Linked DNA regions of Alligator mississippiensis. The protein of the gene in region 2 interacts with the protein of the main gene of each other region in a pairwise test. Links are inferred from orthologs where the notes say so. Each region holds a gene or a part of one and is shown on either strand. Other genes may lie near its edges.

Region 1 (6,424 bases), on a different chromosome or scaffold from region 2:
AGCGCGCGCCGCTTTCAAACCTCGCTCCCCCCGTTACGTCACTGCCGCCCCCAGCCCATTGGCTGCGCGCCTCCCTCCGCTCGCGCCCCCCACCGCTCACCTGCCATTGGCCCACGCAGGGCAACGCCCCCCGGCCGCGTTCCCTGCCCGGGCCCCGCCGCCCGGATTGGCAAGAAGGGCCGCTTCCGCTGCGGGGCGATTGGCCGGCACCCCTCTCCGCCCTCCGCGGCCGGCCCAATCAGCCTCGGTGTCGGCCAAAGGGGCAGGGGGCGTAGCCACGCGACCCACCTCCCGCCCCCAGGAGGTCACGCACGCCAAGGGCCAGGGGCACGGACGTTGGTCATGTGGCAGGTCACAGCCACCAGGCTGCGCCGCCCGAGCCCGCCCCCAGGTCGGGGCAGCCCCCGGCCGAGCCCGCCCCGCTGCCCCGGGGAGGCCGTGAGGGCAACACAGGCCCCGGCCCCAGGCCGCTCTGCCCCCTCCCCCCGCGGGGGACAGACGAGGCCGACAGACAGATCCCGGACGGCCCCACGCCGGGCTGCAACTGTTTATACAAGAACGGGTTGGCACAAGGCTGCACACGCTCCCCCCTCCCCCACCCACAGCTACCCCCTTAGTGTTTCCCAACCGCCCTGCACCACCTCCTTCCCGGGGCCAGCATCGCAGCACTGAAGCCGCAGGGCCCAAATCGCCAGCTCCCACGTGCCCCAGCACCAGGGCGCCGGCCACGGGGCCGGGAACCCAAAGGCATGGGGGGCAGAGCGGTCAGGCAGGGCCCGGCCTGGCGGGATGTGGCGCGGGGCTGTCCCCGCCCGCCCCAGTCTACTTGTAGGTCCAGCAGGCAGTGGCCCAGCCCTGCCCCTTGCAGAGCTCCTTGTGCTTGAGGAAGCAGTTCTGGACACGGAACTTGCGCCCGCAGTCCTCGCAGGAGTACAGGTTCCCGTCGTGCGTCTTCATGTGCTCGGTGAGGTGGTGCTTGAGCTTGAACTTCTTGTTGCAGACGGAGCAGCCAAAGGGGCGCAGGCTGAAGGTCAGCATGATGTGCCGGTCCCGCTTGGGCTTCACGGCGAAGCGCTTCCCACACAGGCAGCCGAACTTCTTCCCGTCAGGCGCCGCCACGATCTTGACCGGCGCGTGCACCACCTGCCCGTGCACCGTGTGCGCAATGATCTCGTTGCCGTGCAGGTCCACCGGCTTCCAGGAGCTTTGGGGGAAGCCGACTTCGTCCGAGGGCAGGGGCTGGGCCTTGATGGTGAAGCCGGGGGCGGCCAGCGAGGAGGAGGAGGAGGCGATAGCGCTGGTGGCAGTGCTGCCTGCCGCCGGGATAATGTAGCTGACCTCGCTGCTGCTGCCTGGCGGCAGACTGGCCTGGTAGAGGCCGTGCACCTCGGCTATGCCCAGCGCCCGGCCCTGTGCCAGCGACTTGAGAAAGCAGGCTTCGCCCACAGCCCCGGCCCCACCACCCAGCGCCGCCACTGCAGCCTCCTCTGGGTCGAAGCGCTCCTGCTTGATGTAGTAGATTTTGGGGTGGTCTCGAGGGCTGGGGAAGGGGCCGTCCGGCTCAGCGGAGGCCGGGCCCTTGGAGACGCCGAGCCCGACCTCCTCATCATCCTTCAGCACGATTTTCATGGACTTGTCCAGGGACCCACTGCAGATCCCGGCCGGGTGCTTGTCCTCCTCCTCCTCCTCCTCCTCCTCATGGGACACCCGGATCTTCATCACCTCATCGTCCGGGCAGCCCGGCACCCCGCGGGCCACAGCCGCCATGCCGCGCTCCCCGCCGCCTCCCAGCTCCCCGTCCTCCTTCACCGCAAAGTAGTTGCTGCTGCTGGGGGACTGGCTCTCGCTGGCGCGGCTGGACCAGGGCCGGTAGGGGCCGCCCTCCAGCTCCTTGAGGATGGCAGAGCACTGGTCCACCACCTGCCACATCTGCAGCCCGCTGGCCACCAGCAGGTGGCTGGGCAGCGCCTCCACCAGCAGCTTGAGGCGGCCGGAGTAGATGAGCTGCAGCAGGTTCTCGAAGGCGTCGGGCTCGATGACGCTGGGCAGCGCCAGGCAGCTGGTGTCCTGCAGCAGCAGCTTGTCGTGGAAGTAGGGCGAGGCGGCGGCCAGCACGCTCTTGTGCGCGTGGAACACGCGGCCCTGCACGTGCACCGCGATGTCGCAGAACTTGCCCTCGAGCCGGTGCTTGTTCAGCGTCTCCAGCAGCGCGGCCGCGAAGTGCGGGAACTCGATCTGCACGCTGCGCGCCGCCGCCTCCATCGCGCCGCCGGGCGGGCCGGGCCGGGCCGGGCCGGGCACGGCACGCCGGGCAGCGCTGCCACCGGAGCCCGCACCCGCTCCGCCGCCCAGCCCCTTCCCCCGCGGGCCCACTGCAGCCCACCCACCCCGGGAAGCGCCCCGCCCCTTCCTTCCCTTGCGCGCGCGGGCCGACCGGCACCCAACCCTGGGAAGCGCCCGCCCCTCCGGGCGGGCCGACCGGCACTCAACCCCGGGCACCGCTTCGCCCCGCCCCGCCCCGCGGGCCGACCGGCACTCAACACCAGGAAACACCCGGCCTTGCCCCGCGCGGGCCGAGCCCGAGAAGCGCCCCAGGCAGGCCGCTTCCACCGCGGGAGCCGCCCGTGCCGCCGCCGCTGCTGCAGGGCTCAGCCCCCGGCGCCCTGCCCTGCCCTGCCCTACGCGACCGACCACGATGTATCCCACGCGCCGGGCTTCTCTCGGGAGCGCCCGCCACCGCCGCTCCGCAGGCGGCCAACCAGAAACTAACCCCCCCCTCCACAAGCTTACCAGCGCCCAGCCCGGCGGACAGCCATTTCCTCCCGCCAGCCAACCAGCGCCGCCACCGCCGGAGGGCGGGGCGCCAGCTCCCAGCACCTGAGACCTGATTGGCTAGAAGGAGCCAATCGCAGGGCCTCTCGAGCTTCTTGCCGAGCTGGGTTTTGGTTGGCCACGCCCCCTCCCCGCGCGGCCCAGCGGACATGTGCGTGAGTCGCCCCCGGCACGGGCCCCCGCCCCGCCCCGCCGCCCCCCCGGCCCGGCCTTGCCGCGAGCACCCCGGGGCCGAGGCGGCGTAAAAGAACAATCGCTTTTTATTAAACATTTTCATTTGTTTCCGATGTTGTCACCACACACTCCAGAAAAAAAAGGAAAGAAAGAAAGAGAAAGAAAGAAAGAAAGAAAAGGGCCGGGGGGGCGGAATAATAAAAAGAAAAGAAGAGAGAGGCCCGGGGGCACCAGCGGGCGCCGGGCTCACACCTGAGCTCCCTTCCCGGGGCGGGGGGGGCAGGCGGGCTATGTACAGAGAGTGAGGTCCAGAGAGGTCTATGTACAGTACAAATCCGGTGGTAATTACAGCACCCAGCCCAGGGACGGGCAGGGGAGAGGGGCAGCGCGGCCGGGTGGAGGGGCGGGAGCCGAGAAAATTTCACATATGTACAAACTTTTATATAATAATAATAATCATTAATAATAATAATAATTAATACGTATAAATATCACGGCGCCGCCCTCGTCCGGGATGGGGGGGGGGGGGAGGGCGGTGGAGGGAGGGCAGGCGTGAGGCCTTACAAAAGAAATATGGACCACAGGGAGGAGGGGCTGGGGGCCGGTGAAGGGCGAGGGTGGCCCTAGCCGGGAGTCTGAAATAGAGACACAGAAACAGCAAAGAAACACCCAGTACAATCACTGCGCTGAACACATTCACCCAGCAGGTCGGACCATAGCACGACGGCGAACAGCCACAACAGGCCCCCTCCAGTTCTCCGTGCTCAGGCCAGGGGGTAGGACCGGCGCCCCCCACCCCCACCCCCACCCAGGGCCCGTGCCCGCGCTGGCGGGTGGGCAGAGAAATGGCTTCTTCAAGATTTCCCGTTGGTTGGTCGGTGGTCGCGTTCCCCCCCTGCCCCCACGTTCGCCCCGTGGGGCAGGGCCTGGGGCGTCTCGAGACCGGGAGGAAACGGAGAAAGAAAAGAAAGAAAGAACGAGAAAGCCCCTCCCGTGGTGCCCCGTCTCCCCCAGGCAGCTACAGCCCAGTGTCCGTGTCCGGGGGCCGGGGGCGCTGGCCAGGCCGCGGGCGGGTGGGCGCTGAGCAGGCAAAGCCCTTTGTCGGAGTAGAGAGCACAGAAAGCAGGGCTGGGGCAGGCGGCGGCGTGGGAGACCCTCCTCCCCCCACACCGGCGCCAGGCGGGGCAGGGGTGGCAGGGCGAGCCGGGGGCAGAGCCCAGCACTGCCCCCAGCAAGAGGGGAGGCTCCCCAGGGACGGGGGTCACCCTGCCTTGCAGGGAAGGGGCGGGGGCAGGTTTGCAGGGGAATCTTGGGGCAGGGGCAGGGACAGGACCCAGGGCCTCAGTGCTAGGATCCTCGGTCCAGCCACGGGCACCTGTCCCCACACTCCCCATTGCTGGGGGGGCAGGGGCAGAATCAGGACCCTCTTCCCGCCCCATGCCCAGGGGAGCCGGAGCCAGCCAGGCCCCCCTGGCAGGTCTCACAACCCCCCAAAGCCCACAGCTTCACCCCAGGCAGTCTCCCTGGGGCTCAGCCTGGCGCTACACTCCCCCATGCCCCAGCAATGAGGCAGCTCAGAGGCAGTGGGGTGGGTGGGGTGTTTCGCCCCCGGCCAAGGCATAGACACCTGGGCCCCCAGGGGGCAACTCAATGGACAGTCTGCCATGGGGTAGGGGGCACTCCTGAGATAGACGAGGGGTGGGGGGGCCAAGGGGAGAGCGTCGGGGCAGGTGGTGGGGAGGGGTGGATGTAAGATTGTCATCTGTGTCCTGCTATAAAACACCCTGAAGTTGTGTTTGAAGAGTCGCACCGTTCCCCGAGGGACGGCGTGATGGGGGGCTGGGGCAGGGGCAGGGGCAGGGCAGGGGCTGGTGCGCAAAGGGGGGCAGGAGTGGGGGGCCCCTCCCCCCAGAAGAGGGCGGGTTTATTTGCTTGCTTGCTCGGTTGCGATGCGGGGGCCGAGGGGGAGGGCGCCATGTCCCGGCCAGGGTCTCTGCTGCGCCCCCAGAGCCGCGGGCGGGCGTGCGGGCGGCAGCGGCGGGCAGGGAGGGTCCGCCCGGCGCGGGGCCCGGCGCCACATCCCGCGGGGGCAGTGGCTAGTGCTCAGCAGCGGTGTTGCGGAACTCTCCATTTTCCGTGATCTGGAGTCGCGGGGGCGGAGGCGGGGGCTGGGCGGGCAGCATCCCGTTCCAGGGCGGCCCCAGGGCGCCGCTCACACGCGAGTCTGCTGCACCCACGGCGGAAAGCTGCCTCTCCTGCAACGCAGACATGCAGAGCACGGGCTTATTTATTAACGGCACACGGGACATGGCCACGCCGCCCCCACCCGCTCTGCACTGGGCCCCGGCCGCGCCTGAGGCCCTCCGCCACAGGCTGTCCTGGATGGCCGGGCTCCCCTTGCCTCGCAGGGACACGCTGCAGGCCAGGCCCACAGCCCACGAGGAATGCTGGGGCCCTGCTCCCCGGGGGGACACAGCAAGGCGCGGCACCTGGCAGGACTCTTCAGCAGGAACTCATGCAAGCCCTGTGCCCTGAGGAAACGGTGCCTCATGCCAGCAGTGGGCATGAGGACTGCAGGCTCTGGGCGGAGCGGAGGACCCAGGAGATGCAAGGTCTGCTCCCCACCTGGCCCCAGAGACAAGGGCAAAATGCACGCAGCTCAGCACACGCTGCCAGAACCTAGGGACTTGAGAGTTAGCAGCCAGTGGCAAGCACCGGGGGGTGGGCCTAACGGCTGGGGGGCCAACCTGCACTGCCCTCGGCCTTGCACGCCCCGTACAGGTCACAGATGCCAGCCCTCCCAGGAGGAGTGGCTCCGGCAGCCCACGGCCCAGGTGGCCTGGGAGCACCACACCACGTTGGGCAGACCCAGACCCCTGCGAGGGAGATGCCACATGGTGCCAACACCAGCTCGCCCATCTGCACTGAGGTCCCAGGTTCTCCCCCGCCTTGCGGCGCCAGGTGTTGTCTGCCTGGGCAGGGTAGGGTAGGGGCACAGATGAGGTCTAGCCATGCTGTCCCCTTCCCCCACCCAGGGCCCCCAGCCATCTCTGATACTAAGAGCTGCCCCGGCCCCCCAGCCCTCGGCCCATCCTGCCCAGCCTGGGCACTGACCTCTCACGCCAGTCATCCAGCACCAAGGGGCCCCCCAGGGGTGCCCTCTCCGGACAGGGGACTGTGTTGCCACTGCTGGAATCGCACAGCCCGCCGACCCCCACCCTGTCCCCAACAGTCACACCAGACAGGGACACGCACACACATCCCATGACATGCACCCTGCACCCCCCAGACAGACAGACAGACACCCCATCCCCAGCAACCAAGCCTTAGGGAACCAGGAACCTCCAAAAGTCAGGGGGGCAGAGGCACAAGGATGTCCTCCCTCTGCCTCCCAGCTGCTGCCCTGGGGAGCAGACCC
Region 2 (7,903 bases):
CTCTGCTCCAACATTGAGATGTGCTAGCATGAACCTCTATTCGCATAGAGGCCATCCATAGGTACATCCATTTTTGCACTGGCTTATGCTTTGTTCACATTCAGAAGGATTATTTCACATCTGTGACGTCTAATCTCCCGTTACCACTTCCTTTTACTTTGTAGCCTGGTAGTTAGGACACTCTTCTAGGATGTGGGATACTCAAGTTCAAGTCGCTTCTTTTTCTGAGAGGACTTGATTCTATATCACCCACTTCCCAGGAAAATACTCTAACAATCAAACTATAGATGTTCTGGTGTGGGATGCTAGGCATGAGTTTAAATCCTGTCAGGTAAACCCCAGCCTCTTATATCCCATATAAGTGCTCTAACACCGGACTATTAGGTAAAAAAGGGGACACCTCCTCTTCCTCTGCCTTTTTTTTTTTTTTTGAAGAAAGGCTTTGACACCTAACTCCATGAGAAATTACAGCTGTGAATCCTAATCAGACATATACATTTTCTTGCAGCCCACAATTAAATGTCTTAAATCTCTTGAGAAGAACAGCCCTAAAGCCACATCCCAGTCATTGGCATTCCTTTAAACAACTTAAACTTCGGAAAATCTCTTAAAAATAAGACCACCATTCAAACTGCAGCGTCTAAATCACCAACAAAATGCCTCAATACTAATTTAAACAACAATTTCAGATGGGGATGTCTGAAAATTGGCCCAGGTTCTCCGTTTGGAGAAAGTATGAATTTGATTGCTTTGCCTTCTACTTCAGCAAATTAATCAGGCCTAGGGTCAGTGAGGATCTAGTCAGGGGACTTCTGGAGGGACTGGACGTATTTAAATCAGCTGGTCCTGATGATCTCCACCCCAGAGTGCTGAGGGAACTGGCAGAAGTCATTGCGGGACCCCTGGCATGGCTTTACGAGCACTCGTGGTGCTCTGGGGTGGTGCCAGAGGACTGGAAAAGGGCCAATGTGGTTCCCATTTTCAAAAAAGGGAGGAAGGAGGACCCAGGAAACTATAGGCCCGTTAGTCTTACTTTGATCCTGGGTAAGCTTTTTGATGGAATTATTCTGGAGCATGTCCATGAGGGGCCGGCAGAGGAGGTTATGCTTAGGGGCAACCAACATGGGTTCATTAGAGGCAGGTCCTGTCAGATCAACCTGGTGGCCTTCTACGACCAGGTCACAAAATCCTTAGATGCAGGGGTAGCAGTGGACGTAGTCTTTCTGGACTTCAGGAAGGCCTTCGACACCGTCTCTCACCCCATTCTCATTAAAAAACTAGGGGACTGTGGCGTCGACACCTACACAGTCAATAGGGTCGCTAACTGGCTGGAGGGTCGCACCCAGAGAGTGGTGGTGGACGGGTCGTTTTCGACCCGGAGGGATGTGGGCAGTGGGGTCCCCCAGGGATCAGTCCTCAGACCCGCGCTGTTCAACATCTTCATCAGCGACTTGGATGAGGGGGTAAAAAGCACCCTGTTCAAATTTGCTGACGACATTAAGATGTGGGGGGATGTGGGCATGCTAGAAGGGAGGAATAGGCTGCAATCAGACCTAGACAGGTTACAGGGGTGAGCAGATGAGAACAGGATGGGTTTCAACACTGACAAGTGCAAAGTGCTGCACCTGGGGAGGAAGACCCAGCAGCAGACCTACAGGCTGGGGAGCTCCCTTCTCGTCAGTGCAGAGGCAGAAAAGGGCCTTGAAGTCATTATTGATGCCAAAATGAACATGGGCCGACAGTGTTGGACGCGGTCAGGAAGGCCAACCACACCTTGTGCACCCACAGATGCATCACGAGCAGGTCCAAGGAGGTGATCCTCCCCCTCTATGCAGCACTGGTCAGGCCGCAGTTGGAGTACTGCGTCCAGTTCTGGGCACCGCACTGCAGGAGGGATGTGGACAGCATGGAGAGGGTCCAGAGGAGGGCCACCTGCATGGTCAGGGGGCAGCAGGGCAGGCACTACAAGGAGAGGCTACGGGACCTGAACCTCTTCAGCCTCCACAAGAGAAGGCTGAGGGGGGGATCTAGGGGCCTGTTACAAACTTGTCAGGGGGACCAGCAGGCATTGGGGGAGTCCCTGTTTCCCCGAGCACTACCAGGAGTGACTAGAAATAACGGTCACAAGCTGGCAGAGGGCAGATTCAGACTAGACATCAGGAGGCGCTACTTCACAGTCAGGGCAGCTAGGATCCGGAACCAACTTCCTAGCAAAGTGGTGCTGGCTCCTACCCTGGGGGTCTTTAAGAGGGGGTTAGACGAACACCTTGCTGGGGTCGTTTGACCCCAGTACTTTTTCCTGCCATGGCAGGGGGTCAGACTTGATGATCTGCTCAGGTCCCTTCTGACCCAACCAACTATGAAACTATGAAGTTGCCACTGTGATGTGACGTGATGGACTAAAACCTCTCAAGACCAAGAAATACCAAGTTAAGGCAATGCAAATTTAGATTTCAGAAAACCAGAAAAGAAAACACCTGTACAATGCGAACTTTCCTCTGCCTGCTGGAGCTAACAATAATCATTGGGAATGATTCAGTAAGGAGCTGACATCAAAAGCTGGAAGGAGCTGATTGCCAACTGACCCCAATGACACCTTAACCTCAACCAAGTGGCAGCCCACTTTGAGGTAAAGTTTTTTGCTCTCAAAGCAGAGAGTGCAGAGAAAGGAAAAGGAGAGAAATCCTTGCCTGCAGCCTACTCTCCCCTGTGGAAAGACCTGCAACTTCTGTGGATGGATTTGTGGCTCAAGCACTGGACTCTTATGTCACCTCAAACCCGTCAATGAGCCATGGTAGAGATCATCACTGAATCGAGGAATTGCTGCTGATGACAACCACACGTGATTCTGACCACTCCAGCACCCATGTGCTGCTCTGTGACCACCCAACCAGACCTTTCTCCTCCATGATCCATTTTCCTGTTAAACTTGAAGGAGCCATGAGAAAGTGATGGTGCTATTTTAGGACACGTACCAGCTGGGGCTGGATCTGTAAAATTCCTATGCCAAATCTTGCCTTAGCACATAAAGGAATTCTACGTTTACATCTGCAGCATCAGAGGCTCAAACCAGCATGAAGTGGCCCAGTTACTCCAGGGATTTGTTCTCTCCTGAATAACGCCCCTTTGGAAATGGAAACAGAATGAAGAAGTTGCTTAGGGACGCAGGAATTGAATCATTCGTTTCAATGGGAGTTCTTGTGCTGCCTTTCATTCTGTGTTTGGGCCCTGTATCAGATTTCCCCTTTTTCAGTTCCCAGCTGTGATCTAAGCATTGTGTACCATCAGGCAATTGACATGCCCGTTTGCAGCCCCTCGCTCCATCTCAGCACCGAGTGCCTGCCACGTTCCCATTCCCATTCCTCACTGGTCTCGGCACTTCAGCTTTTGGAAGGGGGACTGAAATGCAACATACAGGTGTGGGGGCAGAAATGAAGTCCTCACACCTCGCTCTGCCCCTCTTCATATCCTTTTGAACACTTGTGTACTGGTCTGACTTATCAGTCCTCCTGCCACATCTGACGAGATTAATTCCTTCCCTCACTTGGCCCCGTTGTTCAAGAAGAGTGTGAAAAATACAAATACTTACCTGAGGCTTTTATCCTCATCTATTTAATGCTTATGTCTTCAACGCTACTTCTAGAGTGAAACTGGAGCCTGCAAATGGGTTTGAAAGTGCTTACAAATACCCGTCGGACCATCAGTTTTAGCCTTGAGGCAAAACTTGCAAAACGTAGCTGGGGAAACTGCGGGCAGAGGCTATCGAACAGGTGTGTAACGTGCTCCGAAAGCTGCCGCGGGCAGGGCTCAAACTCAAACACGCATCCGTAGAACGCTAATGCACGTAGTCCTCACGGCGCCACAGTTATTTTTCATACCGAGGTCATAAACCTGTGCAGAAATAACAATAATTCATCTTAAAATGTCACGAAGATCCGATTTCGTGGATTATTTTTATTGTGCGGGGCCTCTTCAGAGGGATGTCGCTTAGGGCCTCCGCACGTCATCGCGATCCGGACTCCCGGTTGCCCGTCAAGCCTCGTTTTAGGCAGCAAGCGCGTCTTCTTTCGTCCTGCGCAAGGGGCGACATTGACCCCCGGGCTTGGCGCCCCGCCAGCCTGCGCCGGGCCCAGTTCGGAGCTGTCCGCAGGCAGGCCGAGGCCTAGAGCGCGCTTTGCCCTCAGACGGGTCCTGGCGCGACCCCGGGAGGCAGGTGGGAGAGGCTCGGTGAAGCACGACGTGGCCCCCACGGCCTGGAAGCTGAGGGGAAACCTCCATTTCAGCACTTGCCAAATCTCACAGTTTTTGGCGTTGTTCTTAAATTCTGCACTTTGCGGATGTGACTGACTGAGGTCTTTTACATACATGTATATCCCTCTATGTATGTATGTATGTATGTATCTCTCTATACGTGTACATCTATAGGTATCCACGTCTCTCACAGCCCACAAACACTCAAGGCCTGTCCCCTCAGAGCCACGCCCCCCTACTGCGCCTGCGCGCTGCGGAGGAGGCGAGGGGGCCGCAGGCGACTGTTGGGGGCGAGGGGCGGCCGCCGATGATTGGCTGGGGGCGAGGGGCGCATGGAGGTGCTCGCTGATTGGCCGGGGGCTCGCGGGAACGCACGCGACGCACGGAGCGCGTCGCCGATTGGCCGGAGGAGCGTCACGGGGCGGGAGGGAGGAGGAGGAGGAGCAGGAGGGGGAGGGGTTGGGCCAGCGCTGCCGGCGGATTGGCTAGAGCGGGCAGAGGGGGCGGGGAGGGGCAGGCAGCCGCCGCCCCGGATTGGTCGGTGCGCGCGCGCCCCTGCGGAGGCGTGCCGCGATTGGCTGGAGCCCGCGAGGCGGCCGGGGACCGTTGGAGCGCAGCGCAGCGCAGCGGAGCGGCTGAGGCGGTTTCCGCAGAGGACGGGGACGGCGCGGCCGCCTGCTCCGCTGCCCCCGGGCCGCCGGCCGGGGAACGTGAGTGCGGATGTGGGGCGGGGCGGGGCGGGGCGGTGCGGGCTCGGGGCGTCCCCTTGCGCCAGGGGGGGTGGGGGCTGCGGCCTGGGCCCCCCCCCCAAACCCGTCCTGCCCCTCCCCTCCCCCCGCCCCGTCCAGCTGCCCTCTCGTCGTGCAACACCATGGCGGGACGGGAAGGGACGGGACCTGCCGGGGCCGCCTTGAAGCGTCTGCCCGCGCGCCAAGGGCAGGGCGCGTTGGAAGAGAGCATCTCCCTGCGCCCTCGGCGGCGAGGCCAGGGGCTCCCCACCTGTATTTCGCGGTTTGGGTGTCATACAAACCTCCGAGCCGCCCCTGAGGCCTTCCCGCGCGCCCCCCCCCCCGCTTCTCGGGAGAGGGTGGAGCGGGGCGCGGCGGGGAGCAGCCTCTTCGGGGGGTGGGGGGGTGAAACTTTCCGAGGAGGAGCGCGGTCAGGCAGGAGAGCGGGCGGCTAGAGGTGCGGGGGGGCGGGGGCTGGTAGCAGCGCACGGCCGCGCTGGGGCCACGTTGAGGGCTCGGCGAGTGGGCACGCGAGGGGAGAACCGGGGGTAACGGCCACTAGCTCCTGGACCATCGATTCGGGCTCAACGTCAGGGAACACTTCTGCACGTTTGGGGTGTCCAGATGTGGAGACTGGACGGTCCCGTCGCCGGGGTTGCCTGACCCCACGTGTCTTCCCTGCCGGGTTCAGGGGGCTGGACCCGACGATCCTCCGAGGTCGCGTCCGCCCTGACAAGCTGTGCGCCTCCGTCCTTGGAAGCTTTGAGGAGCAGGCTGGACGGACACGCGGCTGGGATGATCCTGCCTTGAGCAGGGAGCTGGACTGGATGCGACCCCGGGAGGTCCCCTCCGGCCCGACGTGCTATGGTTCACCTTAGCCGTGACCGGGTCCCGTGGCGAGAAGCAGACGTAACGTTCGTGAGACTTCTAGAGCAGCGGTTCCCAATCTGCGGCACGCGAACGCAGACAGCCCGCCGGTGGTACCTGTTCACAGACTGATTATAATGACTTTATATGACAAAAACGTGCCGGGGGGTACTTAAGCTTGAACTGAAAAGTTTGCTGGCGGTACTTCAGGTCGTATCGTGCGCAGCCTGTCGGTTTGGGAACCGCTGTTCCAGAGTGAAAAGTGAGCTGGGAAAATGGCGGACCTTGTTTATAGAGGACAAAACATTTCTTTTTCCTTTTTTAGGTTGCCTTTAAAAGTACAAAGAGGAAATTGTGTATAGAAAAGTGAAAGTTGTCCCTAGAAAGCTTCCTGTGTGATCCAGGTAATGCTGACTGTTGTAACCAGCCTGTGATATCAAACATATATGCGCATAGGTGCAGATACATTAACGAAATTATTGAGTTAGTGTCTCATAATGTATATTTAACAATTCGTCCAGGGCAAATGCTTAGTACAGAGCAGTGACTTGTACATCTAGACCTGTGAAAAATTCTTTGTAGAATGTCAAAAGTGCCTGCAGCCACATCCATGGTAGGGAAGGTTAGGCCTGATGAATATTGATATAGGAGACCTGCAAAGAAAACTTTGATGGTCTGGACAGTGTTGATTCAGTAGGTGGCACTCTTCCCTTTGGAACTGAACCATTATCCCAACATTGCACCCTTTTGGGTAGGACTGTGCTGCTGAAAGTACCGTTTTCAAGTGTTTAAAGCTAAATCTCGGCATTACCAATTGACTACATTTCAGCTTGGACTACCTCCCTCCAAAATATCCTTAGTAGTTTCAGATGGAGAAGCTTTTCTTCATGTCTTATGTTCTCAATTTTTCTGCAAAGTGTGACTGCTGATACTGGCTACCGTGATCTATAACAGGCCTGTCTAACTGGTGCTCTGTCTCTTAGTGGCTGGCCTCCCCCCGCCATTGCTCTCCTGTGCTGGTCTCTCCCTCCCTCTTCCAGCTTCCATTTCCTGCCCACAGCTTTGAAGGTGGGGCATCATGGGGTGGCCCTCGTTGCATGTTCGGTTGGCTCCTAGCTACTTAGAAGCACACCTGATCTCCAGCGGTGGGGACAAATATCTTTGTCAGGCGTGCCACAAAGTAAGCCCTGCATCCACCCTGAGTGTCACCCTTATCTGTTACCCCTGACTGATCTGTTGCTCTGCTTTCTCCCATTGCCCTGTGCTCCCTGCTTGACCTGTTCCTTTGCTTTCTATTCTCTGTCCTATCTGCTGTTGTGTTCCTTGGTTTCCTCCCTGATCTGTGCACTACACAGGAAGGCTTCCCATGCCATTTGTGGCATGCGCGCTGCAGGCTGGGACACCTGGACTTGGATGCAATTTTAATTATAGGCCAGTAATGCAAAACATGTATACATATATATTTCCAGACAAATCTTTGTAAATAGGGAGTTGAAATTCAGAGTTCATAATACTGAGTTGAGGGAGAGTAAAACAAAAAGGACATGGATGTTTCAAGTATCCCCCCAAAAATGTTACAAACCCATTTGAAAAATTCAGACTAGTATTATCAGGTAAGAGATGTAGAAAACTTTTGTTGTCATGTAATGACATCAGGCAAAAAAACCCCATACAATTAGGATCTTATTTTAGTTTTTTGTGATCCCAAATCATATTAGTCCAAACTGTAATAATTTTTTTAAAACATTTTTTATGTGGTTCTGTCCTTACTGTGTTACAGAGTTTGTTGTTTGGGAGTCTGACTGATGTATTTATATACCTTAATATTTCTTTTTAATTAAACTTTGAATGTCCTGGGTATGTAAAGCTTATTTTTGTTGGTTGTTTTTGGGGTTTTTTGTTGTTGTTGTTAGGGGTTTTTTTTAAGGATAGCTGTATAATGTTACGGACCATCTTGAACATAGAAAAGTTAGGAATTGTGTGGAAAAGTTGAATACTATCATATGAATAATTGGCTATTGTGTAAATACAGGCAGTGTAATTAATTGTATGGATGG

The links. The genes of interacting proteins can lie anywhere in the genome.
Region 1: the proteins of DTNB (region 2) and ZBTB9 interact in binary tests that used the Homo sapiens proteins (3 or more experiments, as listed by UniProt). The two-hybrid records come from large-scale screens. The link is inferred for Alligator mississippiensis from reciprocal best matches to the Homo sapiens genes DTNB and ZBTB9.

Annotation. Positions count from the first base shown.
Region 1 is NC_081834.1:64,914,178-64,920,601, reverse strand, and holds ZBTB9 (zinc finger and BTB domain-containing protein 9), read right to left. Parts: upstream 2,263-6,424; coding exon 823-2,262; 3' UTR 517-822; downstream 1-516. Other genes in the region: SYNGAP1 (ras/Rap GTPase-activating protein SynGAP), read right to left, coding at 5,103-5,261. UniProt on the Homo sapiens protein: May be involved in transcriptional regulation.
Region 2 is NC_081824.1:1,020,893-1,028,795, reverse strand, and holds the start of DTNB (dystrobrevin beta), read left to right. Parts: upstream 1-4,847; 5' UTR 4,848-4,961; intron 4,962-6,171; 5' UTR 6,172-6,250; intron 6,251-7,903.